Cricetulus griseus: one gene and its partners. The protein of the gene in region 3 interacts with the protein of the main gene of each other region in a pairwise test. Links are inferred from orthologs where the notes say so. Each region holds a gene or a part of one and is shown on either strand. Other genes may lie near its edges.

Region 1 (3,970 bases), on a different chromosome or scaffold from region 3:
ATGCCAGCATGGAAATGCCAGTTCTAGGACTCTGGCTGGCTGGAGGTGATGGGTGGATTAGCCAGACTGCTTATCTTTCAGTTCTAGGGCAGCTCCTTCTCTTTTGCATTTGCATCTTACCACTCCAACCTCATGTTTTCCTTGAGGCATCGTATCAGTATCAGTAGGCTTCCATTCCAATGCATCATGTCGGGAGTGCTTGCTTAGACTGTACTAAACTCGGGTTTTGTCTGTGTTAAATTGGGATGCAGGGCAGACTATGTTCAGATATGTTCAGACTGCGCCGGATTGTGGCAGGTTATCACAGGGAAGGTGGGATTCCCCCTGTCTTCACTCTGTGAAATCACCTTCACCAGCTCTCTTGTGAAGCCTGAAGTGAGCTTAAGCTTTAGTTCCTTTTCTCCTCCTTTAGTGGAATCTAGTTGATTTGGGACTTGTGAAATTCACAGTTCTATGCTGCTAGGCATTCCCACTGCAGTGTTACTTGCATGGAGTTTTTCATCATGCTGACGATGAGCTGCCCATATTTGTTCTGGAGAGGCAGAACCAGGCATGGCCTGGGTTTTACAGGAGCAGGTTACTTTTAACTTTGAAAACCCATGTGTGACCACTGTAAGTTACAGGTTGATATGACCACATAAAACTGGCTCAGCTTCTCATACATAATTTTTTTTCCCTTAAGACAAATATGGTCTCTTTAGAAGGCCTTACCAAAGTAGTTGATCCTTCCCAGCTAACTCCCGAGTTCGATGGCTGCCTGGAATACAACCATGAAGAATGGATTGAAATCAGAGTAGCTTTTGAGGACTACATTAGCAATGCAGCCCATATGCTGTCGAGGCTAGAGGAACTTCAGGATATACTTGCAAAGAAGGAGTTGCCTCAGGACCTCGAGGGGGCTCGGAACATGATTGAGGAACACTCTCAGCTAAAGAAGAAGGTGATTAAAGCTCCCATAGAGGACCTAGATTTAGAAGGGCAGAAGCTGCTACAGCGGATTCAGAGCAGTGACAGTTTTCCAAAAAAGAACTCGGGCTCGGGCAATGCGGACCTGCAGAACCTCTTGCCCAAGGTGTCCACCATGCTGGACAGGCTGCACTCCACCCGGCAGCATCTGCATCAGATGTGGCACGTGAGGAAACTGAAGCTGGACCAGTGTTTCCAGCTGCGGCTGTTTGAACAGGATGCTGAGAAGGTAAAAGCGGGAGGGAGGGGCATGCCAGCTTGACAGAGGGGAGCTGCTGGGTCACTGGGTCTCGCCTCTGAGACTGGTGTGATAATGTGAGGAAACAGAGAGAAGGAGGAAAGTAATAGGGCTGCAGTTCCAGTGTGCATTCCACAGCAAGGGCCATTCGGAAGCCATCCTTAATCTGGCCTCCAGTTTTACTCTCAGTACAATACAGTGCTATTTTAGAAAGTCTGAGCTAAAAGCTACCGGTGGTTTGAAGAAGAGTGCCTGAAAGGCAGGCAAGAGTGATTTTTTTTTTTTAGTCCACATTGCACAATTGTGTTCTTAAAAGCAGTGATTATGTATAGATTTTCTGATACCCACCCTCTGATCCAACAAAGCCAGCAAAGCAAACCCTATTCAGACCTATACTGTGTCCTTTTCTAACAAAAGGTGAGTGATTCCATTAGAAATAAGTTTCTAGGTGATGTGGACAATAATGACAGATGTCCTGGTCAGAGTGGATGCTCATTCATTGCCAGATAATGTATTCTTTGCAATGTGAACAAAAAGGATGCTTGCAAACAGGAATGGTTTGCAGGCCATGGAGATAGGTGAAGTAATGTCTTAACTTGTGGCCATTCGGTTTTGTTTTTCCATGGATTGGTAAACGCACTGGAAAGTAAAAAAACCACATTAGAATTTTTTGATATAGGGTGCTAAAAGGATTTTTAGATGGGTGAGTCAGCATCACTGGCTTACCTGAGACCTATCAAACTCTCAAGTCCTTTGAAATATTTTGGTAATTTGGTTGTTTGTATTTGCTCAGGTTTCTGTGCGTGTCTTGCACGAGAGAGTGTATTCTTTCAGCTGTTAGTAATGTCTTCATAGATCCTAGTACAGAAACACTCCAAGGTCCTGGTTCCAGCCTTGGGTCTTCAGAGGGAGAGCAGTGAGACCCATGGAGCACTTTTTAGAGGAAGGGGCCTGGGCACAGAAGACAGGGTTTCTCTTAGGTTGAGGGAGCAAGCTGAGTTCCTCCTTATGAGACAAGACTTTCTTGAGATCTGCTGCCTCAGAAGCTCTTGCTTGTTCTTAGAGGCATAAACCCCAGCAAGCTCAGGGAGACCTCAGAGAAGCTAGCAACCCCCCCCCCACACACACACATACCCCTCCCACCCCTCACCCTGCCCTTTCTTTTTCTGCAGTGATCCCAAGTAATCTTTTTCCTTCTGGTAGATGTTTGACTGGATCACACACAACAAAGGCCTGTTTCTAAATAGCTACACGGAGATCGGGACTAGCCACCCTCATGCAATGGAGCTTCAGACACAGCACAATCATTTCGCTATGAACTGTATGGTAAGCTGTTGTGAGACCCTGCGGAAGATGGGAGGCAGTAGGTGGCTGGAGTACACATACCTCAGACAGCCTATGTGGGGCCTTCAGTGGCAATGGCTATAGAGATGATAGTTGTCACCCTCATTTCTTATATGACTTTGGACAATTTGTTTGACCTCTTTGACCCTTAGTTGCCTAATCTATGACTTGGGCACATTGTCTTTCTTTGATATATTGTGTTATTTGCTCTGCATGTCTAGAACACTTCATTGTGGCTTTCAAGAATCATAATCAACACCTGCGATATTATCTAATCAAAGTAGGAGGGGAAACTCTTCAAAGTATGATTGACGTCCCGTCCCTTCTCTCCCTCTTTCCTTCCCTCTCTCCCTCCTTCCCTTCCTTCTTCTTTCCTCCCTCTTCTCTTTCCCACCTCTAATTTCTTTCTTTAGATGCTAGCATCTTTTTCTTCTTTTCTACAGTACGTTGTGTTACTTTTCTCAATTAAACTTCTCTTAGGATATGATCACTCTTACTGTGCTGATGACAGCAGTTCAGCAGCTTTCTGGACCTTTCTTGCCCCTTATTCTGACACCTCCACCAGTCATCAGCTATCATGCATGCCAGGCAAGGCCAACTAGCTTTCAGTCCTTACTCCTTCTGCCTGTAGTGTTTTGAGGAACCTTAGAGAATAAAAGACTAAATACAAATACATAAGTGGGCAGTCTCTAAAGGAACCTGATTAGGGAATACCAAGAATGACACTCTAGCATAACATACAAGCTTGAGGATGAAGTCAAGGCATAAGTACTTGTAGTTGGGATGGCGCCTGGCCACATGGTACAGGCTCTGTAGGGCTGAGTGGGTCTCAATGTCCCTGGTTGTGCTGGAAATGATAGAGTAATGGGAAATGGGAAGCACGTGGCTGGTATAGTCTTCTTAGGAAATGAAAATGATGGAGGAGTATGTAATCCAGTCTGTAGATGATCCCTGCTAGGAGGACCATTTCGGTGGCCTGTACTTCTCTCATTCTAATGGTTCTAGCCGAGAGCCTCTGTGTGTACTCTCCTGGCAGAGTGTAGTGGCCTTTTCTCTCAAGGATTCAGAGAAACAGCATTAGCAAATCCAGCCACTTTAAGGGGAGATAAGGAACAGGAGGAGGAAGAACGTAGGTGGGAATGGAAGGTGTTATGTCCTAGTCTCTCCCCATGGAGACAGTACCTGAGATCCACAGCCAGATCAGAGAAGATACAGTGTTCAGTTTCCCCATGGCAACAGAGTACCTGAGACCACAGTCAGAGCCTAGAAGACACAAGCCTCAGTTTCCCCATGGAGACAGAGTACCTGGGACCCACAATCAGAGCTTAGAAGACACCAGCCTCAGTTTCCCCATGGCAACAGAGTACCTGAGACTCACAATCAGAACCTAGAAGACACCAGCCTCAGTTTCACCATGGTGAC
Region 2 (4,426 bases), on a different chromosome or scaffold from region 3:
AAATCTACGTGGGGAAATACAACATATTTTTTAAAGGGAGGGGGAATGCCCGGCTTATTCAAGACAGGGGTGAATCTGTTCTGTAACCTTTCAATTAGTTTAAAACTAATTGAATCACCTAATCAATTGTTACAGCACACAAAAGCGGTGCCTAGGCAGAAAGATGACAAAGCATTTTTCAAACTTATCATACATTCTATCTCCCTGGATTTTTCATCTCGGATTTCAAATTCCCCTTCCCAAGGAATAGTTGACCTTCAAATTTCAGGCCTTGTGTCTCCTTTCCCAGCATCCATCATTTGTTGGTAAAGTCAAACTGGTTTTCAAGTCTCTACTTCCCTTAACTGAGTTTAAGGAATTTTAGTTGTTTTCGAAATCTGCAGTGTGTTCATTGTGCCAACTCTGCACTGCAGAGAAGTCTTAGCGTGGGATTCCAGCTTGGTGCCTACAACAAACAGTCACTACAAACAGGTTTAGTATTTTCTGGGGGAGATGAGCCACAAATGACCCTCCTCTGGGCTCTGGCAGGCAAGAAACCAGCAGCATCCCACGGCCCCGCTGGGCGCTGTCCTTGGTGCTGCCGGATCCTTGGGCGCCCCTGCGCCTTACCTTCTGGAAGCTGCCGAGGTCCCCCAACCGTTAAGCAGACCGGAGCGCCAAATCACACTTTTAACTCAAATGAATACTCCAGCCTGTCCTCTTTGTCCCCTTCCCGGGGGTTTCAGACCTGCCATTTCTCAAAAACTCTCTTTTTTTTTTCTTCTGCATAACTCTCAGCTCATCTCAGCCTGCTTTAAGACAAGGCGTAGGCGGAGGAAAGGGTGGACAAGGAAGATAAGGATGAGTGGGGAAGGAAAAAGGAGAGTGTGGGGGGAGAGAGGGGAAGGGGTGAAAGATGAGGCGACAAAGAAAAAAAGTCCCAGGGGAAAGGGCTCCAAGGGAAATGCCGGGTGAGAACTACAAAAGAGAGAGAGAGAGAGAGAAGACAGAGAAGGGCCACAAGGGGGTTGGAGGTGGGTGATAAAGAACAGCAAGCCTAAGGTCAAATGTAAGGAAGAAAGAGGCTTAGAGGTAGGGGACCAAAGAACAGCCAGGAGGCCAGAGAAGAACTGCCCAACGGGCCAGAGAGTGGCTAGACAAAGAAAGGACGCTGAGTCGGCACTTAGACCAAGGCTGTGAACTGCAAACTGCCGGTGAAAAGCAAAAAAGGGAGATCTACAGGGTGACAAGTGGTCTGGGACCCAAGGGGACGCTGGGGAAGGGCCGGCAGGGCTACACCCAAGTGCGGGGTCCACTGTGGCGCCGGCCCACGTGGAGCGTGGAGCGGCCGCTGAATCACCGCAGGGCTTGTCTCCCCCTTCCCCCCACCCCCGGCCCGGTGCCCGCAGTCCCCGCCTCCTCGACCGCCGCCTCCACGGGGCGGGGCCCTGGCCCGGGACCAGCTGCTCCGCTATAAAGGGGCTGCGGAGAGGCCGGCAGAACGCTGTGACAGCCACACACCCCAAGGCCTCCAAGATGAGCTACACGCTGGACTCGCTGGGCAACCCGTCCGCCTACCGGCGGGTCACCGAGACCCGCTCCAGTTTCAGCCGCGTGAGCGGGTCCCCGTCCAGCGGCTTCCGCTCGCAGTCCTGGTCCCGCGGCTCGCCCAGCACCGTGTCCTCCTCCTACAAGCGCAGCGCGCTCGCCCCGCGCCTCGCCTATAGCTCGGCCATGCTCAGCTCGGCCGAGAGCAGCCTCGACTTCAGCCAGTCCTCCTCGCTACTCAACGGCGGCTCGGGCGGCGACTACAAGCTGTCCCGTTCCAACGAGAAAGAGCAGCTTCAGGGGCTGAACGACCGCTTTGCCGGCTACATAGAGAAAGTGCACTACTTGGAACAGCAGAACAAGGAGATCGAGGCGGAGATCCAGGCGCTGCGGCAGAAGCAGGTCTCGCACGCCCAGCTGGGTGACGCTTACGACCAGGAGATCCGAGAGCTGCGCGCCACGCTCGAGATGGTGAACCACGAGAAGGCTCAGGTGCAGCTGGACTCGGACCACCTGGAGGAAGACATCCACCGGCTCAAGGAGCGCTTCGAGGAGGAGGCGAGGCTGCGCGATGACACCGAGGCTGCCATCCGCGCGCTGCGCAAAGACATCGAGGAGTCGTCCATGGTAAAGGTGGAGCTGGACAAGAAGGTTCAGTCTCTGCAGGATGAGGTGGCCTTCCTGCGGAGCAATCACGAAGAGGAGGTGGCCGACCTGCTGGCTCAGATCCAGGCGTCGCACATCACGGTAGAGCGCAAAGACTACCTGAAGACAGATATCTCCACCGCCCTGAAGGAGATCCGCTCCCAGCTCGAGTGTCACTCAGACCAGAACATGCACCAGGCCGAAGAATGGTTCAAATGCCGCTACGCCAAGCTCACCGAGGCGGCCGAGCAGAACAAGGAGGCCATCCGCTCCGCCAAGGAAGAGATCGCCGAGTACCGGCGCCAGCTGCAGTCCAAGAGCATCGAGCTCGAGTCGGTGCGTGGCACCAAGGAGTCCCTGGAGCGGCAGCTCAGCGACATCGAGGAGCGCCACAACCACGACCTCAGCAGCTACCAGGTAGGAACCGCGGCTGCGCGGCCGGCGGGCGCCAGCGCCAGCGCCAGCGCCGCGCGCCCCCGACACGCTACTGGAGCGCGCGCTCAGAGGCCCTCTTGGTCGCGCTCCCTGGTGGCGACTCGCCAACGCGCACGAGCGCTGCAGACCCGAGTTAGCTGTGTCCCAGGGTCCTTGCCCCGCCTTTCCTCATTGCCCCACCCACCTGGCTCAGCTGCTTAGAAATTCCCATCTCCTTCAAAAACTTGCTTTCCTATGGTAGATTCTACTTTTAAAGTAAGAGGCACATTCCGGTGATCGAGAAATTTGTCATTTAATAAGCAGAAGCACAGATAGTCTCTTGTATTCTCCACACACACACACACGCACCCCTCCCCACCCCCGCGATGGGACAAGCTTTCAAAACTGGCTTCAATCCAGAATTTGGGTGGGGATAGAGGGTAAGGTCCAATAGAGCTTCCTAGGGTCCCCTAGTGTTCCCTTTAGGGGCGTTCTAGGCTTACTGACTTCCCTGCACATAGTACCTGGGAAATGTCTGGTTGATTTTTATTGGTTTGTTTTGAATTCCATTACCAAAAAGAGAAAGAAATGGGGAGGGGGGGCTAAGAGTGTTGTCTGCTAGACTTATGTAGCTGGTGGCGGGGTGGGGATGGGGGTGGGGAGGCAGGTTGGGGGAGGAGGAAAGCAAGTGTCTTTCTTGTGAAGGAAGTTTCTGGAGATACCCTGTGCCTTTCAGGACACCATCCAGCAGTTGGAAAATGAGCTTCGGGGAACAAAGTGGGAAATGGCTCGTCATTTGAGAGAATACCAGGATCTCCTCAACGTCAAAATGGCCCTGGACATCGAGATAGCCGCATACAGGTAGAGGATCTCTGCAGCCTTGGTCCAGGCGCTATCCGCACTGCAGAGGTTGTTGGCTCACAGCCTTCCCCACTTAGGCCAAAGCTGACAGGGTTAGCTCAGAGGCCTGGTTCCCCTGCTCGGTTAAAAACAAATAGAATCCTCCGTGTTGCAAATGCACTTTTATCACTTTTATTTGTCTTTAAAGAGTGAATATAGGGAAGATGCGGGACGAGGGAGGAGTTGGGGGAGGGAAAATAATATGATCAAAATACAGTTGTATGGAAAAGCCCAAAAATGCACAAAAAGTGGGGAAATGGTATTTTTAAGTTGCTAGGGGCCACACCAATAGGCTTAAACATTTTGTTTTAAATATCCTTGTATGTCTGGCAGGCAGATGAAGTTTTGATTTTTAGTATTTCATCTGATGATTCTAACTCTTTTATAATGCCAAGGACAAACACCAGGTCATTCTACCACTGTTTTTCTCTTGCAGCATACTGTTGCCATCATCTGGCTGAGACTAGCTATAGATACATTAGAATATAGATAGACTTATTTTAAGTCTATGGATGATATACATGCATCCTACCTGACTGCAGTATATGTGATACTCATATAGCTAGATCTATACAAGCATGTATGTATAGGAACATATAGAGCTAAAGGTATAGGCAATTAGAGGTTTGATATCCTTATCAACAGACTGGTTATAGGTCTCCTGATTAATGATGTCTTTCTGCGGACCAGATTCAAAGCACACAGTTCTTGACAAAGCAATCATTTCCCCGAAACACTCTACAGCCAGAATAAACTGCACTTTCTTTTTAAGAAAACCAGATGATTATACAAATAGTCATTCCATCACTGAAATCATAAAACAAAGTATAACTGGGTTCACCAATATTAACATCTAGCTACAGTTCAAATTCATCAACATTCTGATTTATGCCCAATAGTTTTTTTTTTAATTTTTAAATCATTTTATTTGCTTTAACCA
Region 3 (3,970 bases):
GAGAGAGAGAGCTGCTGAGCAGAGTGGGATGGCCAGTGGCATTAGTTCCCTACTGGCCTGGGCCCTGTTATACATGTGTCAGTGGGTGAGGGTTTGCTAGTGGGATGACATTCCAGGTAGTAGAACAGCACCTGCAGACGCCTGCAATTAGGCAGATATGGGCAGGCTTGTTGACATAAGAGATCCAGCAGGAGTATAGGGCCAGATGTACTGGGTAACTGTTCTTGGAAGAGCAAATGGGATTCTGGGTGTCCTTGCTGACCAGACAGCTAAGAAGGACCCACGTGGATATCACTGTGACTAGAGACACACAGATTTTGGTCCCTCTATGTCTCCAGGTTGAAGTTTTGTCTCTATAAAATGATGTCATGGAGTGTAAGATGACCCCCTGATACTAACATACTGTCCATGGGTAGCATGAGCCATTGCTGGGCTAATTTCCATGCCTGCTTCCCTCTGTCTTAGCTGCAGGTGTCCACTGCTTGCAAGAGTGTGGAAAGCCGACTTGGAGGCTTGTCAGCTGCTGATGCAGAGTCTGCGGCTCCAGGAAGCAGGCATCAACCCACATGCAGAAGGTGAGAAGCAGATGGACAGCATAGGAGAGGCCACCTGGACAGCCACCCTGACTGCCCATCCCAGACCACACCCAGAAGAGGAGAAGACCCCCTTGCAGGTGCTCAATGCATGGAGCATTCACTCAACCCCCTTACCACACTGTGCTGGAGGCCAACAGAAAGAGGTTTGTCCTATGTATGCGTGACTTTTTCAGGGGTCCATGTGGCGATGAGAACAAACAGAACTGGAGGGGGGTTGCCATAGACCCTCACAAAGTTCCCAAAATTCATACAACTCTTGAATACGATAACAAAATAGTGTATAGCTTTTTGAAGCTTAAAACATAGACGAGCAAAGAGAAAAGCTTAGAACATTAGCTTTCTTTTTAATTCTAGTTTAGAGGGCCCCATTGTTCTAATTCATTCTAGAATAAGGAAGTTCATATAGAATCATATGTAGTATGCACTATGCATCTTATATAACATAGGTTGTTATACAGACTGTATATCATATATATTCAATTGTATTTCTAGAGCCTATAGATTATATCATTTATGAATTCAAACATTCTAATGTTTGAATTCTAATACATGGTGTCATTTTCACCAAAAACAGATCATGATGAATGTTTGTGGTTCATTTTTTTTCATGAAATCAAAGCAAAACAAAGAGCAGAGAGCCCTGTTGTTTGGCCTGATGTGTACATTTCCATTAGAACATGATATTACTTAATTTTTAAAATCAGGGCCTGACCCTGACAAGTGGAGAAAGCTCCCTCACCCCACTTTCCCAGCTTTCCATTCTGCTCCTGCCTGAAGTCCAGAGGGGTTCCTTGGGTACATGTCTTCCCTCTGAGGCTTCCAAGTTCCTTATTTGGTGGTTTCTGGGTATTCCGTCAGGTCCCATATGTTCTGTAAGGGAAGAAGTTGGCTATAGCTGCTGCCTGACTCATGCCCTCACCTTGACTTTTCAAATCCCATTGCACCCCTTCCTTTGTCTTTGCCAAAATTCAATGAGATGGGAGAGTGGGTGGGGAAAGCACCCTAGCCAACCTGCAGGGTCTCCTGCTCCTGATTAGGACTAGAGTCGTGACATTACAGACCCTGTGCCCTGTGTTCAGCATAACAACCGGTCACTGTGTCTGTGCTGTCTGAGGACTGGCTGTGCTTGTATTTGAACACATGTCCCCATGGGAAGATGAGTAGTATCATAGTCTCTCTGGGTCCCTGCTAGCCTCGGCTGGGTAGGCTTTAAGGAGAACTCCTTCAATACCCAATATTCTCTCTGGAATTGCAACATAGTTTCCCAAATACTTAACAGCTTCTCATGGAGCCAACATTTTACTGGGAAGGTCATAGCAAACCCTGAGCCTATTTCAGGAGCCTGAAGCCAACAGAACATCTTAAAGGTGAGATGGCAGTATTTTGTTATATTTGTTTTACTTTAAAACACGTGTTGCTGCTAATCTCTGACCATGTCTAATTTATAAATCAGGCTTTGTCACAGATAGGTATACATATGAAAAATTGTTCTACTTAGGTTTGATGCTGTCTGTAGTCTTAGGTATGCACAGAGGGGTCCAGGAACATTGAACCGGCATTCTTTGAATTCACAAATACCATAGATCTTAAGATGATAGATATTTTTTGGGAAAGGCAAAAATGATGGGACTGGAGAGCAGGTCTCATTGCCTGGAAGCTGGGAAGAAAGAATCTGGGAGTAGTGACAGATGTGTTTTCTGTCTTGTGGTGGAACCACTATGTATATATATGTAGCCATCTGAATCATGGCTTTACAGTGGAAAAAATTGCACATAACTTTTCAGAACTGACTAAAAGCTTAATGCAATGTCTGCCTGCTTAAAACAGGGCTGTATATGAAACAGGGGGACTTACCTCAAGACTCTGAGAGCTCAGGGGAGGAGAGGGCTCAGCTTGGAGTTCAGGTTCCATTTCTGCTGCTGGGAGGCTGCATCTTCTCATCCACTGACTCAACACCAGCAACAACGTGGGCTGGAGGGATGGTTCAATGGGTAGAGTGTTTGCTGTGTAAGCATGAGAACTTGAGTTAAATTCCCAGCACCCACATAAAAGGCTGGGCAAGGTAGTATAAGCTTATAAGCCCAGCACCATGGATGTAGACACAGGAGTATCACTGACTTTGCCAGCCTGCCAAATTGGTGAACCTCAGTGCAGTAAGAGACCCTGTCTCAAAAAAACAAGGACTGACATCTGAAGTTGGCTTCTGGACTCCATATGCACATACACACACAAGAATAGTCTCCCTGTGCAAACACAAATACCTGTGCACACCCTTGTCACCATGCATGCACATACAAACTCACACACACATACTTACCTACACAGACACATACAAAAGTAACAATGGCCGCAAAAATCAAGAGAGAATAATCAGAACTAAGTTTTTAGTGGCATTAATTACCCTTCCTGTTACCATGACCAAATGCCTGACAGAAACAAGAGAGGAGAGAATGTCTTTGGCTCACTATTTCAGAGACCTCAGCCTGTCATGGGAGGCATGTATGACCAGGGCAGGCTACATCACATTGGGCCATCTCTTTTGTCTTGTTAGTTGTAGTGCCTGTACACGTGGTAAAGCCTGGCTAGTGTTAATTTCTGTATCTCTGGTGTTCTGGAGGTCACAACACCTAAAACACCCTTTGATAATCTACTTTGCTGGCATTGTCAGGAGGAGAAAGTGAGCAGTGAATGAGAGAGATGCCTAAGGAGAGGCAGGCTATAAAGGGGAAAGCTTGCTTGTGTTTGCTGGGAGATTTTAGACCACTAAGCCTCAGAGGTGTGATACTTGGGGGTCTCCTGGTGAAGGTGGTTTTGTCTTCCTGTCTTGCTTTTCAGGGGCTATTGAAGTCTGGGGAGGGATGATGTGTTTATCTTGAGGCAAAATGTCCCTTTGCTTTGCAGCTCCAGGTGTATTTGGCTTTGCAAGGCGCTGCTGGGCCAGGCTACCCCCCCCCCCACACACACACTGGTTTTCCTATTGAAGCATGACACCCTGGGGGCAGGCAATTGCTTTTCAATCCAAATCTTCCATGACAAATCGAGGGCTTCTTACAGAGGTCCACAGGGAGATGGTTTCAAAGCCTTTCCTAAGCTTATCTGGCCTGCACAGTGATATGCATTTCGAAGACACATTGTTCAGGGAGTGCTTTGTCACTCTGGAACACCAGCCTTGTGGCTGAAGGTCCCCACCAGGCTACTCAATGCCATTGCCTTCATTCTGCAGCTGAGTCCATGAAGGCAAGGCCCTTTGCTTGAGGCTTTGTTCCAGAGGAAGTCAGCAACCCAACTAAGGGCTGCATGGGTGTGCCCAGATTGTAAGAGCCCCTTTCTTTCCGGTGTTCAGAGAGCTCCCTGCAGGGCCTTTAGCTGTGGTT
Region 4 (4,458 bases), on a different chromosome or scaffold from region 3:
CTAAAGCAATTTGGGGAGAAAAGGGTTGATTTGGTTTACACTTCCATATCACTGTTTGTTGTGAAAGGAAGTCAGGCCAGGAGCTCACACAGGGCAGGAACCTGGAGGCAGGAGCTGATGCAGTGAGTTGAGCCTGTAACAGGGACGCAGACCTTAGCAGGCCCTCAGACCTTGACAAAATTGACTCCATGATGAAAGTATCATTCAGGCTGTAAAACTCAGAGGGTAGACAACACCACCTGCCAAAACTAAAACAAAGTCCTAATCCATCGAAGTCCATAGTTATGGGAAAGTCTCTAAAATGTAAAGCAAGGTTAGTACCTTGCTTTTTGGCTTCTGTAGTTATGCTTCTTGCTAACTCTTCTTGTTAACTGAAGTGTGTCAACCCAGGACATGGATTTTGTGCTTAAAAGATCACCCTGAGAAAGGTTTGGGGTTACACTGGGATCCCAAACACCAGTGCAAGTTAATGGCCAGCTAATAAAGACTTTCCATTGGCTTAAACCCATGTCCAAACAGTCTTTTCTGGTAAATACAGACTACAACAGGCCCTCCCCATTCAATCACATACTTTTAAAAAGATCTACAGGTTTGTCTGTAGCCCAGGCTTACAGAGGTGTTTAGGGCTCCCTTCTCTCTGATGATTCTAGCCTGTGTCAAGTTGACACAAAATTAAGCCAGCACAACAGCATCCTACTACTCATGGACAATTAAAATGGAAAGAAAAAGCTAAAGATTCTGACTACCCTCCCATTTCTCACTCACTCTAATAAATTCAATTGGTTTGATAACCTTTTCTCTCAAAAAAGGTATCATCAGCGTCAAGCCTGACACTCATAGAAATCACTAGAAATAACTGTACAAAAAATCGAGAACCAACAATATTGACAACTAAGTTACAACGTTAACTAGTGGCAAACTAAGGTTTTAAACCATACCAACCTATTATCAAACAAAAGTACAGTTTGCTTTGAGGATTCTTGAGTGGTGGATTTGAAAGGAATCTACAAAGTGTAAAAATGTAAAACCTGATACCTAAGCTTGCATGAGGGCACTGGCACCTAACACTCTTGAAAAAGTATATTCAAGAGTCCTCACTATCAGGGAAGTGAAAAAACCAATTTACAGAATAGTAAAAGGCTATTAAGTAGAGATTTGTATTTAGAATATATAATGAATTCTTCTAATTCAATGATGAAAATACAACTTGGGTTTTAAAAGATGAACTAAGGATAAGAATCGACAATTTCTGGGTGATGGGCCAGATGGACTTGGGAATGAAATCTGACATAAGGAAAAGCAAACCAAGTCTACCATGAGATACTCTGAATTTCCTTGAGTGGCTAAAACAAAAATGAAAGACAAAAACAAATACTGGTGAGGTTAACTTAAAACCTTCAAACACGTCTGGTGGGGATGTAGTGGTGCAGTGCCTTGGAAAACCTTGGCAGTTTCTGAAAAGCCTAAACAAGAGGATTAGCATATAACTCACCTACTCTATTACCAGGTTATTATATCCAAGAGAAATGAAAACATGCCTGAACAAAAACTTATACAAAATGTACACAGTATATTATTACTGGCCAAAAGGAAAAAAACTCAGTGTCTATTAATGGCTAAAAGGACAAATAAATGACCCGCATCTGCATAATAGACTTTTATAAAATAAACAATAATGAAGTAATAAAGCTCTGACATGGGTGAACTTGAAAAACATTCCTTTAAGGTGAAAGAAGCTAAAAGCACGCATTCAAATCAGATATTTTAAGGTTCTGTTTATATGGAACACCTAGAATAAATCTGTAGAGACAAAAAGAAAATAGATTAGTGATTGCCAAGAACTAAAGTGGGCAGGAATATTGGGAAAAGGTGAGGAAAAGGAGCTAAAACTATGTTTTGTTTTGGTTTTTTGAAGTAATCAAATTGTTCCAAAATTGACTGTAGCAATGGTTGTGCAATTCTGTCAATACACTTGCACCAATGAGTTGTATACTTCCAGATAATGAGTTGTACCTCAAGAAAGCTCTTACAGAGGAAGATGAAAAAGTTCCCTGCCCGAGATTTTCCACAGAAGTTAACAGTCAACAAGCATCTCATTCGATAGGAAAGGTAAAACTTGTAGACAGCATGGGCCCCAAACTGTTAAGTTATTAAAATGGCAATATCTGAACTGGATGCTGTAAGAAATGATGGGCTAATGAGAGTGGTTGTAAGTGGATAGAAATATGAATGTTCTCTCTAAATGCAGGAACTTAATGAAAAAAAAATAAAGCAATAGTGAAAAAATGAGTAAGGGGGAAATAGGAGGCACAGATCAGGTAATTCGGAGGCCTAATAAATAACAAACGGGAATGGGATTCATTTACATAAATTCTGGTCTTTGACTCGCAAAGGATTATAAGGAGACAGAAAAACCTGACAAACGAGCTATATATGTATCCAGGCGGCCAAGAATGAGCAATTTGGGGGAGGAGGGTTTGAGATGAGAGAACCAAGAAACAGTGAACTCTACCTAAGGGGCACAGTCCTTGATCTTGATCTGGGTAACATGCTCATGCCTCATCAGGGCCAAAGGGACACTCCATTTCACAAAGGCCTCTCAGAAAGAAAACGCAGCTCCACGGGGTGCAAAATTTGCTGCCCGGTTAAAAACCACAATGGGTCACTACCTCTATCAATTCGGTTCACCCTGGACATAAAAAAAGAGCAACAGTTGCATTTAAAAGCTTTCAAACAGAGATCGGAAGACGTCTGCTGAGGAAATAAAAGCTGAAAGAACCGGGTGGTATCCACGCGTGGAAACTAAGGCAGCAACGAAGCCCCAGGTGTGTCTGGGACGGACTTTACCTGGAGTCACCCGAGGGGAGGGGCGACGCGAGGGCGTCCCGGGACCACATCTCCCCTGGGGAGGTCGGTTGGGAGCTCCCTCCCGACGATGGATGCGGCCGGCACCAGCAGCTGACCCGGGGCCTCCAGGACCGCTCGCGTTTCCATGGCTAACATCAACTGCGCTCCCGCCTCCCAGGAGGCAGTGCGCACGCGCGCTCGGAGGCGGGGCTGGGCGTCTCGCTCCGCCCCCGTCGGCACGACCCGGCGGGAGGTGGGTTCCCGTGCACAGCGCAGGGGAGCGGGGTGGGCGGTGTTTGCTCCGCGCCGGGGCCTAGAGCTGTGGGCTTCGCTAGGATCCGACTGCCACTCAGGTCCTTGAACATCCATCCTAAGCACCACCTCTGAGCTCTGACCCGGGCTACGCTCAGACGCAAGAACGTGGTTGCCTTGGTGACGAAATGTTCCTGCGCTGCGAGCCTCCAGACTACTATTTTGGGAGCCTAGGAGCTCCAAGATTGGCAGACCCATGACTCAAGAATGTAATAGGAGTTCAATCCACTAGGGTCCTGAGACCAACATTAATGACCACAGAACTAAAGCCAGACAACAGCCTCGGGATTCTGAATGCTTTTAAATGGCACCACGTGCCTATTCTACTTAGATTTGAAACCAAATACCCTTGTTGTCTTGCACTACTAGATACTGCCTTTTCCTGTTTACAAAATGAAGGTTCATGACCACAGCAAGTCTTGGTACCATCTTTCCAACTATATGTGTCTATTTTTGTGTCATATATCGGTGATTCTCAAAACGTTTTAAACAATGTGTATATTTGTTACATACACGATCTCAATTCAAATGTTTTCACCTCCCCCCCCCCCCCCAGACAGTATTTCACTGTTTTGTGTAGCCCTGGCTGTCCTGGATCTCACTCAGTAGATCAGGCTGATCTTGAACACACAGAGATCCTCTCCTGCCTCTGCCTCCGGAGTGCTGGAGTGCTGGGATTAAAGGCGTGTGACACCACCGTCCCACATGTTTTTACTCTTCATAGTATAATACTTTGGGGACATTATAAACTATATTCATATAATAGTGAACTTATCAGTGACAGTGGGCCAGGGGCCAGGGACACAGGTTGTGCATAGCCACCTTAGCAACCCGAGTTCTTTTCAGAGATCAAAAAATTTCAGGGTGGGCCTGTATGAAGCAGAGTTGAGAGTTTGTTAATGATTTTATCATAAAGTGCAGGGGTTAATAGGTATGCTCAATGACAAGGTAAGACACACGAAAGTGTGGGGACTTTTCCCTTTACATGGTCACATATATGATTTTGGTGATGTCTGAGCTTACACAGAAAGCTATGCTACGAAAGTGGAGTGACATAAGCAGGTTACTGATGTCCATTGGATCTAATACAGCTGATAGGTTAAAAGGGTATTTTGAAAAATATGTTTATAGTCTTGTTTGTTAGAGTCCCAGAACTTTTCAGATTTATGTATTTTTGGAAAAGAGTGAGGTCATGAATACTCAGGTCCTAAGCATGACTTGCAGATATTTAAACATTCATATTTGAAATGCGTCCCTAAAAAAGGAGTATTGTCTCTCTGTAGGCAGTCTTCACAGGAA
Region 5 (3,970 bases), on a different chromosome or scaffold from region 3:
TTCCTTAGCATTGGCATCTGCAAGTAGACTTCGAGAAAGGAGCGACTCTTTGGATACTGATTCTAGCATGGACACAACCTTGATTCTAAAAGACACAGAAGCAGTGATGGCTTTTCTAGAAGCTAAACTGCGTGAAGATAATAATAAAACTGATGAAGGTCCAGATACTCCCAGTTACAATAGAGACAATTCTATTTCACCGGAATCTGATGTAGACACCGCCAGTACAATTAGTCTAGTTACTGGAGAGACGGAAAGAAAGTCCACCCAAAAGCGGAAGAGTTTCACTAGTCTCTATAAAGACAGGTGTTCCACGAGTTCCCCTTCCAAAGATGCTACAAAGTCAGGCACTAGGGAGAAAATTGAAAAGAAAGCAAAAAGTCGCTCTACAGACATAGGTGCAAGAGCAGATGGTCGAAAGTTTGTACAGTCCAGTGGAAGAATCCGGCAGCCTTCCGTAGACTTAACCGATGATGATCAGACCTCTAGTGTACCTCATTCTGCTATCTCTGACATTATGTCATCTGACCAGGAAACATACTCCTGTAAATCCCATGGAAGGAATCCACTTACCTCAGCCGATGAGCACAACATACATTCCAAACTGGAAGGAGGCAAAGGAACAAAGTCTAAGACTTCTCCTGTTGCCTCTGGTTCATCAAGTAAATCGACCACTCTCCCAAGGCCACGGCCCACCAGGACTTCCCTCCTGCGTCGAGCCCGGCTGGGTGAAGCTTCCGACAGTGAACTTGCTGATGCTGACAAAGCATCTGTTGCCTCTGAGGTGTCCACCACAAGTTCCACATCAAAACCACCCATAGGAAGGCGAACAATCTCTCGGATTGATTTATTGGCTCAGCCTCGGAGAACAAGACTTGGCTCATTGTCTGCCCGTAGTGACTCTGAAGCAACAATATCAAGAAGTAGTGCCTCTTCACGCACTGCAGAAGCCATCATTAGGAGTGGAGCCAGATTAGTACCATCCGATAAGTTTTCTCCTAGAACTAGAGCTAACAGTATCTCAAGGCTATCAGACTCCAAGGTCAAAAGTGTGACCTCCACTCATGGCTCTCCTTCAGGTAATTGGATCCAGATTTCTAATAACATTAGCATGTTCTCTATGTGGGCTTTTTATTTAAAAATTAAATTTCTAGCTGTCTTAGCAAAGTAATTCAAAAATAAGGTTAAAATTAGAGGGTTAATGTTCTTCCATTAAAATGTAAAATTCAGAAGTCAGTGTAATTCCAATGTCTTATACAAAGTAGTGATTTCAGAATAAGAAATTAACTGAACAGATTTAGGAGTTTTAATTTTTTATTTGATAATAATTGGATTTGTTTGTCAGAATTTTATTAGGAATTACTGTCTATTCTAAAAGTAATGCTATGCTTCTAAAATCAGGTATTTCAAATTTCTTATGGACCCATGGAGAATATACATTTTTTCAGTCAAGATGGAAATAAATAGCAGATGTAAAGAAATATGTTTCATATACTTACACATTCGGGGTTGGAGCTCTTGAAAATTAACTTTAATTTCAGTGGGAGAAACCAGATTCATAGGGGGATTGCTAAGCATATATGGATTAAACTAAATTGGAAAGTTAATTAATTGTGAGCATTATCTCACAAAGTCCTGTTGTAGCATTTAACTATAGTAATTACATAACTGAATATAATTGCAATCACTACTTACAGTCTCCCAGTATTGAAGTGATATTGGCTAATTTGTCTGTATTTAAGCTGAAGCCACTGAGAGAGAGTATATGACCACAGCAGTGAGGCAGCTAGCTGATTGTGTGTATCCTCATATAATAAGCATGTTCTTATTACCTCACAATCAGCTGCATATGTGGGTGAGGCTGAAAAGGCCGGGAAGGGTAAACCAGTTTGAAGCCTTGAAGGTTTATGATTCTTTCCCAGCAAGCTAAGTGAGCCTAAGTCTTGAGTTAAAGTGGAGGAACGTTAGTATATAACCTTCCTTTTATTTTTGCTTGATTTATAAGACATCTTTCATGATTCAAAACTAGTATTACTTCATAAACGGTGTTTTTGTTTTTGTTTTTTCCACTTCCCGTTCCTCCTTTTCACTTTGCTTTCATCCATTCTATTTTCTTTTCATCTCCATTGGTCAGTGGCTTTGGTAATGATAGTTGTAGACTGTGGTAGGACTGGATATAAACCAAAACTAGAGAATATATAGCCATGCTTCCTGAAGGATAAATGGCATTTGTTGTTCTGGTCTGTTTCCACATACTAGTCCTTGATTGACTATTAATGAATTGGTTGCTAGGTATTGTTCCTCATTTATTTCTTATGGCCCTCCCTTCTCAGTTCATTCCCTTTGCTGCACTCTGGTGTGTACTCTGGTTTCCTCTGAAACACTGCTTGCTTTACCACCTCACCTCCATTTAAGCACATTAACACATTAACATGAGTGGTGATGGAAGTTGTTTGGTAACATGGAGCATGAAGTGGCTGCTTCTCTGCTGAGTGACTAGCTCTTACCATGGGGCTAATCTAGCTTTATTCCTTATTCTTTAGCATGAGGGGCTTATTTAAGATGTGGTCTAAATAGGACCACTTGGCAAGAATGAGAAACAAGCATAAGATTTCATATCATATATAGACAAATTTTGATTTCTGCTTTGAATGCAGATCTTGATACTCACTTTTTGTTATCTAAAACAAATAAAAAGTCTTGGGATTCCTTAATGAAATTCCCAAGGGAAAATTGTTACTTTCGTTCTTTATACTTAGTAGTCAGCTTTTACATAACTCCAGTCATGAAATTTAAGAGCTATCTAGGGAACTGGTGCCAGGAGATAAAATAATTTGCCCTGGTCAGATGTCAGGTCAGAATGAGAATCTAGGACCTTTATTACTGGCTGTTGAGAAATGGAACTATATGCTAGCTTCCAGAAGACAGCTAATATCTTATTACTAGAAGCATATACAAGCTGAATATAAAGTATAATAGTTTGGGTGTTGTTCAGTAAATCATTGAAATCATATTATCCAGTCCATGTCAGTGAAGAATGTACTAAATAGTTGTTGCATGGAATTATTACTAAAAGATTTATGTTTGCTTTTAACAATTGAATATCTTTGATGCTATAACATTTCTATTTAAGATATATTATCTTGAGTGGGAAAAGAGAAGAAAATAAGGCTTAAAAGAACATGAAATTAGCTGGGCATTAGTGGCGCACACCTTTAATCCCAGCACTCGGAAGGCAAAGGCAGGTGGATCTTTATGAGTTCAAGGCTAGCCTGGTCTCCAGAGCAAGTGCCAGGATAGGCTCCAAAGCTACACAGAGAAACCCTGGCCGGGGGGGGGGGGGGGGGGGGGAAGAACATGGAATCATATTGATCAATGTTCCATTCTCCTTGTAAACTTTAAAGACCTTGAAGTTATCTACCACCTATGAATCTGTCCATATTGACATATGTAAAAAAATTATTTTTGATTCAGTATTTTCTTTCATATAATTTGGTAAGCATTGATGACTGGAAATGTATAGCAACGTTGATAGCAATTCTTTTATGCATCTCTGGTACTATTTGCTTCCAAGGGCTCAATGACTTGCCTTTCTCCCATATTTTTTTGGTGACAAAGGAAATACCCAGCTTTATTTTGGTCAAGATTTTGGTATTTAAAATTAAAGGCCCTTAGTTATCAAAATAAAGCAGTTGACCAGCTACAGTGGTTAACACCCATAATCCCAAGACTTCAGTAAACTCTAGGCCAGCCTCGGCCACTTAATGTGTTCCAGATTTGGACTGTCTAGCAGGACCCTGTGTCTAAAAGCTATATGCTACTATGAATAGCAGCACCACCACTACTAATAAACTATCTGGTGTTCATTATTTTGAGTGTACAGGTTAAAAGGTTTATTAATATTTTTAAACTTTTTCTTAAGTGTCTTCCATTTTATTCTAAATCTCAAAGTTAAAGTAGTGGAAATTAA
Region 6 (4,441 bases), on a different chromosome or scaffold from region 3:
ATCACATAATAAGTTTTATATTTGTTTTCCCCTCCTCCTTGTCCATTGTTGTTTCAAGACAGGGTTTCTCTATGTAGCTCTGACTGTCCTGGAACTGGCTCTGTAGACCAGGCTGTATTGCGACTCAGCGATCTGCCTGTCTCTGACTCAAAGTGCTGGAACTAAAGGTGAGCACCACTATGCCTGCCTGGCCTTCCCTTCTGTTTTAAAAATAGGTCAGTGAGATGGCTCAGCAGGGAAAGGGGTTTGCCAACAAACCATGACCTGAGTTTGATCCCCAGGTCCCCCATGGTGGGAAGAAAAAACAGACAAATAACAGTTGTTCTGTGAACTCCAAACTTACGTAAAGACAAGTGCTCGAGCACATACACACACGATAAATAAATAAATGTTAAATCAATTCAATTAAATAGTGTTTCTTTGTCATGTATATACTTGGCAAAATGAAAAGAGTACCTATATTATGTCTATTCTCCAGAAAGATCTGTTGTCAGCCTGGACACAAAGCTACTATGTACAAGGTCCCCAGTACAATACCCAGCCCTGAAAAGTGAGTTTCAGGATACCCTGGGCTAAAGAGTGAGACCATGTTAATTCCTTCTTCCTAATTTCTGGAGACTATTAATGAAGTGGTGACCACCATGGAGTGTTCAGTCAGAGTTGCAGCTATCATTTTTCCATTTAGATTTCCAAATTTAAAAAAAAAACCCATAATCAGCATACCCAGACAAATTTGAATTTCAGATTATTATATGCATATCACAAATATAATAAGACACATGCTTTTTTGTTGTTATTTTTGTTTTTTCGAGACAGGGTTTCTCTGTGTAGACCTGGCTGTCCTGGAACTCTGTAGACCAGGCTGGCCTCAAACTCACAGAGATCTGCCTGTTTCTCCCTTCTGAGTGTTGGGATTAAAGGTGTGCACCAGCACTGCCTGGCCCTGAAATTCAATTTTTAAAAAAATTCTTATTAGTTTTATGTATTTAATGTATACGGATGCCTTGCCTACATGTATGTCTGTGTACCACATGTGTGTCTGAAGAGGGCATGGGACCACCTGGAACCGGAGTTATAAATGGCTGTGAGCCACCATGTGGGTGCTGGGAATCAAACCCAGGTCCTGCAAGAGCATCCAGTGCTCCTAACCGCTGAGACATTTCTCCAGCTCCTGAAATTAAAATTTAACTGAGGGACCCTGAGTTTTGTCCTGCAGCCCTCATCTGAAAAGACTGCTTCACTTTTTCGTCCCTTACATTTTTTACTAAATCATACTGTTGTTGTTCACAAAGCGACGAGCTGTGTGATTTCGAGCCCACCTCTAGATGTTCGGAAGTAGGACTTATGCAATCCTTTTCGTAGACTATTAAAAATGATGGAAAAAAAATAAGCTGTACGAACTAACTCTCTCCCTAAGGTGTGTTATCGTCGTTCCCAGCCCCAGCCCCAGAGGCCCGAAACTACATATCCCACAATGCCACACGGCGTCTCCTCGCCATTACCTCATTCCCCGTCGCTCGCACCAATCCCAGGCTCTTCAGGGGTGTGGTAGCCGGCCGTCCTCGCGACTTTTGCGGTACCCTTCCGCCGGGTGACTCCTGTCGCGAGACTTCCTGCTCCTCTGCCGCTCCCTTTACCGTCGCCTTTGCCGGGAACCCGGACCCAGCCTCTTCCCCCACCCGGTCACCGGCCCCGGCTCCACCGAGGCCTCGGTCCCCCAGCCCCGCCTCGCCGCCGCCATGGCGGACCCTAAATACGCCGACCTCCCCGGCATTGTGAGTACAGGGCCGGGCCCGGCTCCCCAGACCGCGCCCCCGATCTCCCAAGGACCCCCAACAGAAACCAGCCCGCGACCCCTCCCGCTGGCACCCCCTTCTCCGCCCTAGCGGTTACCGCCGCTCGCCCATCGACGGCTGCAGCACCTTCCGGACTGCCGACTCGACTGGGCCGGGCTTTTGGACTCCGCGTCTGGCCCCCTTTTTCCTGCAGTAGCCAGTTTCTCCGCCCAGGAATCGCCTCCGGGCGCCCGCCACTTGTGCCCGAGTGTTTGTATCATCCATGTCAACACTGTCCTGGTCGCCCCAAATGTCCCGATTGCCCGCCCCCGCATCCTTGCTCCAGCCATACTCACTAGGCCACTTGATGATGGCCTTCATCTCTCCAGGGAAGAGGTTACTGTCGCAGAAAACCTTGTGCCAATTGGGAGCTCTGTCCCTTGGGAGCACCCGTGCCTGCTCCTCATGTCCAAGGAGGCATTTACGCTTCGGTGGTGTTGGCCCTGTCCATTTGCATTCTCAGGGTTGGGAGACTGGCCCATAGGACCTTGAGAACTAAGTACCTGAGTCACTCAACCCTTGTAACAGTGGAGTGGTATGCAGGGCAGGATAGTTACCTAGGACTGGCCTCTCAGCTGGGCCCAGGGTAGCATCTTTCTTTTCACATTGGTCATTTGCCCCAGGTCCCAGTTTGTCCCTGTGGTTGTCCCACTGAGGTGTGGGAGCTGACACCCTGTTGACAGTGGAAGTGGAAAACCGGTAGAATCCTTGAATCACAGTCCGGGTTTTGCATTAGCTTGTTCATAGGAAATGGGGACAAGAGGTGAACGCTGGGATAGTGAGATTGGGTGGTCACTGCTTCTACCTGCAGGCCAGGAACGAGCCCGATGTTTATGAAACCAGCGACCTACCTGAAGATGATCAAGCAGAGTTTGATGCGGTAAGACTCTGTGCTGCCTCAGGACCCCTCTCCCCCAGATAGGTCTTTTCCTTCTCTGGCAAGCCACAGCAATAAGTGAGTATGCCAACCCCAGCCTGGGTGATATGTAGGTCTCAGGGCCTTGAAAGGCCTTGCTGAGCTGGCAGCCATCAGTGAACAATGCCAGAAAGGAGGGTCATGCCAGTGGGACTACGGCTAACTAGACCTGCTAGTAAAATCCAAGTCTTAGGTTTTCTAAATACAATTGAAATATCTCAAAACAGTTACATTCTGGGTTAGTGATTAATTAGGCCCCTGGGTTCTAATCCATGCTTGGACTTTAATAAATTGTTTACAGTTGGAGTAGGCCTTTTTGTTTTATAATATATTTCACTCAGTGCATTCTGATTAGTACTTACCAAGAACTTGAATTTCAAGTACTAGTAGCCATTAGGCAAGGTGTAAACAAATGACTTGGAGACTTCAGACAAGTAAGAGGCCTGGTTAGACCAAAGTAATTTTGGGGAAAATACACAATGAACTCTGAGGAGTCGATGTGGATGCAGGAAAGGAATTATTTTGTATCGTTTAACAGAATATATCATTCTGTTTTGATTCATTCTGTGCAGAGGAAGAGGCGTCCTTGCCGCTAAGGAGCCCTTGACTAATGTGACCATCAGGATGCATACAGGAAATAAGGAGAGGAGTTAGGATACATGTAGGTAACATAAGAAGAAGCCTAAAAGGAATGAACAGAAATGAGTATAGTGCTATGGGGACAAAGGCCCAGCAATGGCTTGTATAGATCATGTTTTATTATTTCCAAAGAAAGTTGAGCTGGGCCCACATGGATGCTGTGAGACCTCAGTGAAGGTGTGGAGACATCTCAGCAGGCCCAGTATGTGTGTCTGTTAGTCCTGTGGCTGTGTCTGTGGGGCTGATTAGTTGTGGGGATTGTTGGTTGCTGGCTTTTATAATGATATGGCTTGGCATACTCACTTATTCCTTGTTTTGTTCTCCCCTGTGGGAGTGTCTCCTACATTGTGGGGAATAGCTTCTCTGTCCCTTCTCTCGGCAGTGTGTTCCTTGTGGCTTCTGTATTTGCTGGCATGTCAGTCCACTTCTCCCTCCTCCCCCCAGCTTAAGTATCTGGAGGTAATGCAGATGATGTCATAGCCGGGTACTTAAATGAAAACCTGTCCCTCCGAGAGGTGTCTTAGTTACCCTGTCCTCATAGAGTAGCAAAGTATGTAATGAGGAATTCCTGTACTACATCAATGAAAGATGGCCCAAAACCTGCCTATAAAATAACAAGCCCCTGTAGGGGACTGTCCCTTTCGCTTACTGTGATACAAGTGCACAGTGGTACCACAGCAACCCTGTCTCCAAACAAACAGATGGCATCATTATTTTCTTTTTGGAGGTAGAGAGGTAGCTCTTAATCATAAGAAGACTGTGCCCATTATAGGCATGATGGGACCTGAATATAAAGCTCCAATTGGCTCCTTTTCCTCACTGAGCCTGAGCAGCCTATTGCTGTAGCAGTTAATGACTGTAGAGGGAGGACATCCAAAGTTTGTTTCCTTCAGCATATTACCAGGAAGCAAGGGTCTATGGAAGGGCCTGGGAGCCGGATAGTGAACACCGGTGATTTGAAGCTGCTCTCATCACCATGGCTCAGCTCAGGGGTCAGAGAGGAGTGTATGTGGAGACCTTCAGCCCTTCAGGAGCCCGGAGAGCCAAGTTA
Region 7 (3,970 bases), on a different chromosome or scaffold from region 3:
AGGTCCAGCCTCCAGAGATACTGTCACCAGTTGAGGCTCAGCATTAAACACAGGAGTCTGGGGCCTTTCATAGTCATACCGTAGCAGTAGGAAAGCAGGAAGACCATACAGCTTCAAATGGTGGATGGGTAAAGATGCTTTGATTTATTTTTGAATGCTTCATTTCATCAGATGGAAATGGCAAGATTGTGCATTGATTACTTTGGTGGCGGAGTCTTTCTTGATAAGTTTTTATTTTGGCCAGTGTTGAATGCTGTAGATAATTTATCCTTAAATTTGAAATTTTATTTGTTGAGAGGATCACTGGTGATTCCCAGGTTTATGTTTCCACGGAAGACCAATGCTCCAGTACCTGGAGCTCCTTTCCATTTGACAGGTACTCCTTTTGAGGGCTTTTCCAGAGATAAGAATTTATTGAAGTCAATGAGTCCTCATCACAGGGTTTTAAGCTTTCTCTGTAATTATCCTACTAGTCATTTATTTATCTGCTGAATTTATTTAGCAGCCAATTGGACCTCTATGATTTCCTGTCTCTTTTGGGAACGTTGAATGGTTAAGTGTCCCTGGTCCATAAGAGGAAGCAAGTGGAGTGCTTCAGGAACGCTGGAAGGAATATGGGATAGTTTCCTATGCTTCAGCTGCAACTGCTTCTTACATCCTTGACAGCCTTCCTTTGCCTTGTTTCCTCTGTGAAAGGAAATAAGGTTACTCTGACTGGCTTCTTTGTGGAAACGTGCTGGATTCTAGACATTAGCATTCCCCTTTGCATATGTGGATACTGGCTTTTAAATTGTAGGATTCTTCTAAACATCTAAGTTCAGCTTACCTGTCTTCTGATAACTGTTACTTTGTTTTTAACAAAGGCTTAGTGATCTCATTAGTAGGGTTAACTATCTAGGAACCTCATGTGAGCCTTATTATTTATGTTAGGTTAAAGGAAATGGTTTGCAAGACAAAATTTGTTGAGTCCTAATATGTAGTTTTGTGGTTTTGGAAACTTACTGGTGGCTTTTCGATCTTTTCCTTAAAAATAAGTAAAACCTAGACTAGTGTGGTGTTTAAGTTGTCTTTCCTGTTTCCTTTTAGGTGGTATTAAAGATCATCAAACACTATCAAGAGGAAGGACAAGGAACGGAGGTTGTTCAAGGAGTGCTCCTGGGTCTGGTTGTAGAAGACCGACTGGAGATTACCAACTGCTTCCCGTTCCCTCAGCACACGGAAGACGACGCTGACTTTGATGAAGGTAAGCGTGCAGACTGGTGTCACGTGTGTCTTTACCGTATCTATGTATGTATGTATGTATATGTATATGTGTATATATACAAGTTAACACATTTTCTAGTGTAGCTTGATAATATGTTATTGGGAATTTTTTATTGGGTTAACCTAAATCATTTGATTTTTTTTTTTTTTTGAGTTTTTTGGAAAATGCATATTCTATGCAATGAGAATTTGCAATAAAGTTCATTGCTTTGTCCTGTTTGGCATCTATTTATTATCTTCTGTTTTGAAGTATTTAAGAAGAGAGATGCTTTAGGAAGATTATCCTGTAGTTAAAAGATTACACCAGACACAAACTAAACATCCTTAAAGATTTCTCTTTTAAAATCTAGTTGAAAATAACTTTTCACTTTTTCAAACTCTTAGGACCCCGTTTATATACGATTAAAAATTAAAAATGGTTGCCTATAGCATATGACCGATTTTTATTATCATAATTTTTATGAATTATGCATGTTGTCAGTAGATCTCTAGAAGTTTCTCATAAAAGTGACACTGTTAGCCTTTCTGTCTCTCACTGCTGATAACCACTGTTCTGTATTGCTTTCTGTTTGCCTTTTAGATAATTGATAAGTTAAATCATGCAGACTTTGAGGCAGTATCAACTTTCATCCATGTTGTAGCATATGGCAGGATTTCTTAAGATTTTTTTTACTTAAAAGATGTGTGTGTGTGTGTGTGTGTGTGTGTGTGTGTGTGTGTGTGTGTGTGTGTGTGCGCGCGCGCGCATGCATGCATGTATGTGGGTATGTTGGATCCTCTGGAGCTGGAGTAATAGGTGGGTGAGCCACCTGATGTGGACCTTAGAAACCAAACTCCAGTCCTGAGTCATTTCTCCAACCAAGAATATCTTTTATTTATTCCTTGACAATTTTTATATATTTATGCAATGTATCTTGGTCAGACCTATTCCCAGATCCTACTCCACCCACCCCCTACTTGCTACTATAAATCCTTCCGCCAAAGCCGCTGAGCCCTAAGGCCACGTGGGCGCTCTCCGCCAGCCGCCCGCCTGAGTTAGGCCCAAAGGAATACACAGAAACTTGTATTAGGTTCAAAGCTGCTTGGCCAATGACTAGGATTCTCATCTGCTAGCTCAGTCTTTTTTTTATATATAGTCTTTTATTATTATTATTATTATTATTATTATTATTATTATTATTAATTCAAGTTAGGGAACAAGCTTGTTTCACATGTAATTCCCCTCTCCCTCTCCCTCCCCTCACCCCCATTCCTTCTCCCCCACCTCCAACCTACCCCCCACCCCATCCACCCACCACTCCCCAGGCAGGGTAGGGCCCCCAACAGGGGCTCCACCAAGTCCACCAAATCTTCCTGTGCTGGGCCTAGGCCCCTCCCCATGTGTCCAGAGACAGAGTGCATCCCTTCAAGTGGGATGGGCTCTTAAAGTCCCCCACACACACCAGAGCAAAACGCCAGTCCACCTCCGGAGGCTCCCAGGAGTGCAGGGGCCTCCCCATTGGCATCCATGATCAGGGGGCTGGATTAGTCCCGTACTGGCCTCCCAGAGAGCGTCTGGGGTCGATATGCTTTCCCTTTTTCAGGCCAACTGTTTCTGTGGGTTTCTCCATCCTGGTACAGACCCCTTCGTTCTTCATTCCTCCCTCTCTTCAACTAGGTTCCCGATTTCAGCTCAGTGTATTTCTGTGTATGTCTGTCTCTGCTTCCATCAGCCACTGGATGAGAACTCTCCTGGCGGATCGGTCGCTGGGAACCTAGCTCAGTCTTAATTATCATAAATCTATATATGTTATAAGACTTATTTTTATAGAGGATGCCTTTCGTTGGCGCCCTCTCTTGCCGGTGGTTCACATCCTGCTGCTGGAGGAGGAAGGGGAAAGGGGACACTTCATCTTTCTCCTTGCTTATCAGTCTCCTTGCTATGTCACTTCCTGCCTGGAACACCACTTCTACTACGTTTCCCATAATCCTCTTTGACTCCTAGTCCTGTCTTGCTGTTTCATTGGCCAAACAGAACTTTAACAATCAATAAGATAAACACACACAGTGCATTCCCCATCACCTACCTTCCTGGCTATTGGCTATTTTATCTTTTTCTTCTTATTTTATTTATTTATTTAGTGACCCACTGGGTCCAATTAATGCCACCAGCTGGAAAGTTGGCGGATCACCAGTTGCCTTGTTCTTGCAGGTCCCCAGTTTCAGTGATTTCATGAGCGTAGTGTCCATATCATGTCAGGAAGATAGCATTTCACAGCACTCCTGCACAGACTCACCCCCCAGCTCTTAGCTAAACTCCTCCTGCCTCTTATATGCTGTTTTCTCAACCTGTATGTGTAGGGACTGGATTGAGATGTCCCATTTTGGGCTGACACTGAGCTACCTTTTCTTAGCACCTTACCAGCCTCTGCATCACTGCCCACTGCAGAAAGAGGCTTTTCTGGTCAAGGTTGACAGTAACATTAATCTGTGGCTATAAATATAAGTATTTTGATGACAGTTTGACAACATGGCCATTTAGCAACAGCAGTAGGCGCCCACTTAGAGCCCTTGGGCTTTTGACCAGGTTTGTGGAATGAGCCACGAATTCCCTTCTTTGGAGTAGGCCTCAAATGTAGCCATAATCTTCTTGGTTTTCCCATAATTTTCATGCACTGTTGCACCAACAGGTACACATTTCCTGGCAGGTCCTTATTGTAGAGTTCAG

Evidence for each region.
Region 1: the proteins of Disc1 (region 3) and Trio interact in binary tests that used the Homo sapiens proteins (3 or more experiments, as listed by UniProt). The link is inferred for Cricetulus griseus from reciprocal best matches to the Homo sapiens genes DISC1 and TRIO.
Region 2: the proteins of Disc1 (region 3) and Nefm interact in a two-hybrid assay, tested with the Homo sapiens proteins (2 studies listed by BioGRID and IntAct). The link is inferred for Cricetulus griseus from reciprocal best matches to the Homo sapiens genes DISC1 and NEFM.
Region 4: the proteins of Disc1 (region 3) and Pcnx4 interact in a two-hybrid assay, tested with the Homo sapiens proteins (2 studies listed by BioGRID and IntAct). The link is inferred for Cricetulus griseus from reciprocal best matches to the Homo sapiens genes DISC1 and PCNX4.
Region 5: the proteins of Disc1 (region 3) and Cep170 interact in binary tests that used the Homo sapiens proteins (3 or more experiments, as listed by UniProt). The link is inferred for Cricetulus griseus from reciprocal best matches to the Homo sapiens genes DISC1 and CEP170.
Region 6: the proteins of Disc1 (region 3) and Dctn2 interact in a two-hybrid assay, tested with the Homo sapiens proteins (2 studies listed by BioGRID and IntAct). The link is inferred for Cricetulus griseus from reciprocal best matches to the Homo sapiens genes DISC1 and DCTN2.
Region 7: the proteins of Disc1 (region 3) and Eif3h interact in binary tests that used the Homo sapiens proteins (3 or more experiments, as listed by UniProt). The link is inferred for Cricetulus griseus from reciprocal best matches to the Homo sapiens genes DISC1 and EIF3H.

Annotation. Positions count from the first base shown.
Region 1 is NC_048595.1:358,604,352-358,608,321, reverse strand, and holds part of Trio (triple functional domain protein), read left to right. Parts: intron 1-682; coding exon 683-1,195; intron 1,196-2,407; coding exon 2,408-2,530; intron 2,531-3,970. UniProt on the Homo sapiens protein: Guanine nucleotide exchange factor (GEF) for RHOA and RAC1 GTPases. Involved in coordinating actin remodeling, which is necessary for cell migration and growth. Plays a key role in the regulation of neurite outgrowth and lamellipodia formation.
Region 2 is NW_023276807.1:223,117,566-223,121,991, reverse strand, and holds the start of Nefm (neurofilament medium polypeptide), read left to right. Parts: upstream 1-1,515; coding exon 1,516-2,589; intron 2,590-3,322; coding exon 3,323-3,447; intron 3,448-4,426. UniProt on the Homo sapiens protein: Neurofilaments usually contain three intermediate filament proteins: NEFL, NEFM, and NEFH which are involved in the maintenance of neuronal caliber.
Region 3 is NC_048596.1:201,987,582-201,991,551, forward strand, and holds part of Disc1 (disrupted in schizophrenia 1 protein), read left to right. Parts: intron 1-465; coding exon 466-739; intron 740-3,970. UniProt on the Homo sapiens protein: Involved in the regulation of multiple aspects of embryonic and adult neurogenesis. Required for neural progenitor proliferation in the ventrical/subventrical zone during embryonic brain development and in the adult dentate gyrus of the hippocampus.
Region 4 is NC_048598.1:130,873,597-130,878,054, forward strand, and holds the start of Pcnx4 (pecanex-like protein 4), read right to left. Parts: upstream 3,003-4,458; 5' UTR 2,848-3,002; intron 1-2,847.
Region 5 is NC_048598.1:17,032,918-17,036,887, forward strand, and holds part of Cep170 (centrosomal protein of 170 kDa), read left to right. Parts: coding exon 1-1,079; intron 1,080-3,970.
Region 6 is NW_023276806.1:130,459,321-130,463,761, reverse strand, and holds the start of Dctn2 (dynactin subunit 2), read left to right. Parts: upstream 1-1,544; 5' UTR 1,545-1,739; coding exon 1,740-1,775; intron 1,776-2,646; coding exon 2,647-2,715; intron 2,716-4,441. UniProt on the Homo sapiens protein: Part of the dynactin complex that activates the molecular motor dynein for ultra-processive transport along microtubules. In the dynactin soulder domain, binds the ACTR1A filament and acts as a molecular ruler to determine the length.
Region 7 is NC_048603.1:3,251,010-3,254,979, forward strand, and holds part of Eif3h (eukaryotic translation initiation factor 3 subunit H), read left to right. Parts: intron 1-1,086; coding exon 1,087-1,243; intron 1,244-3,970.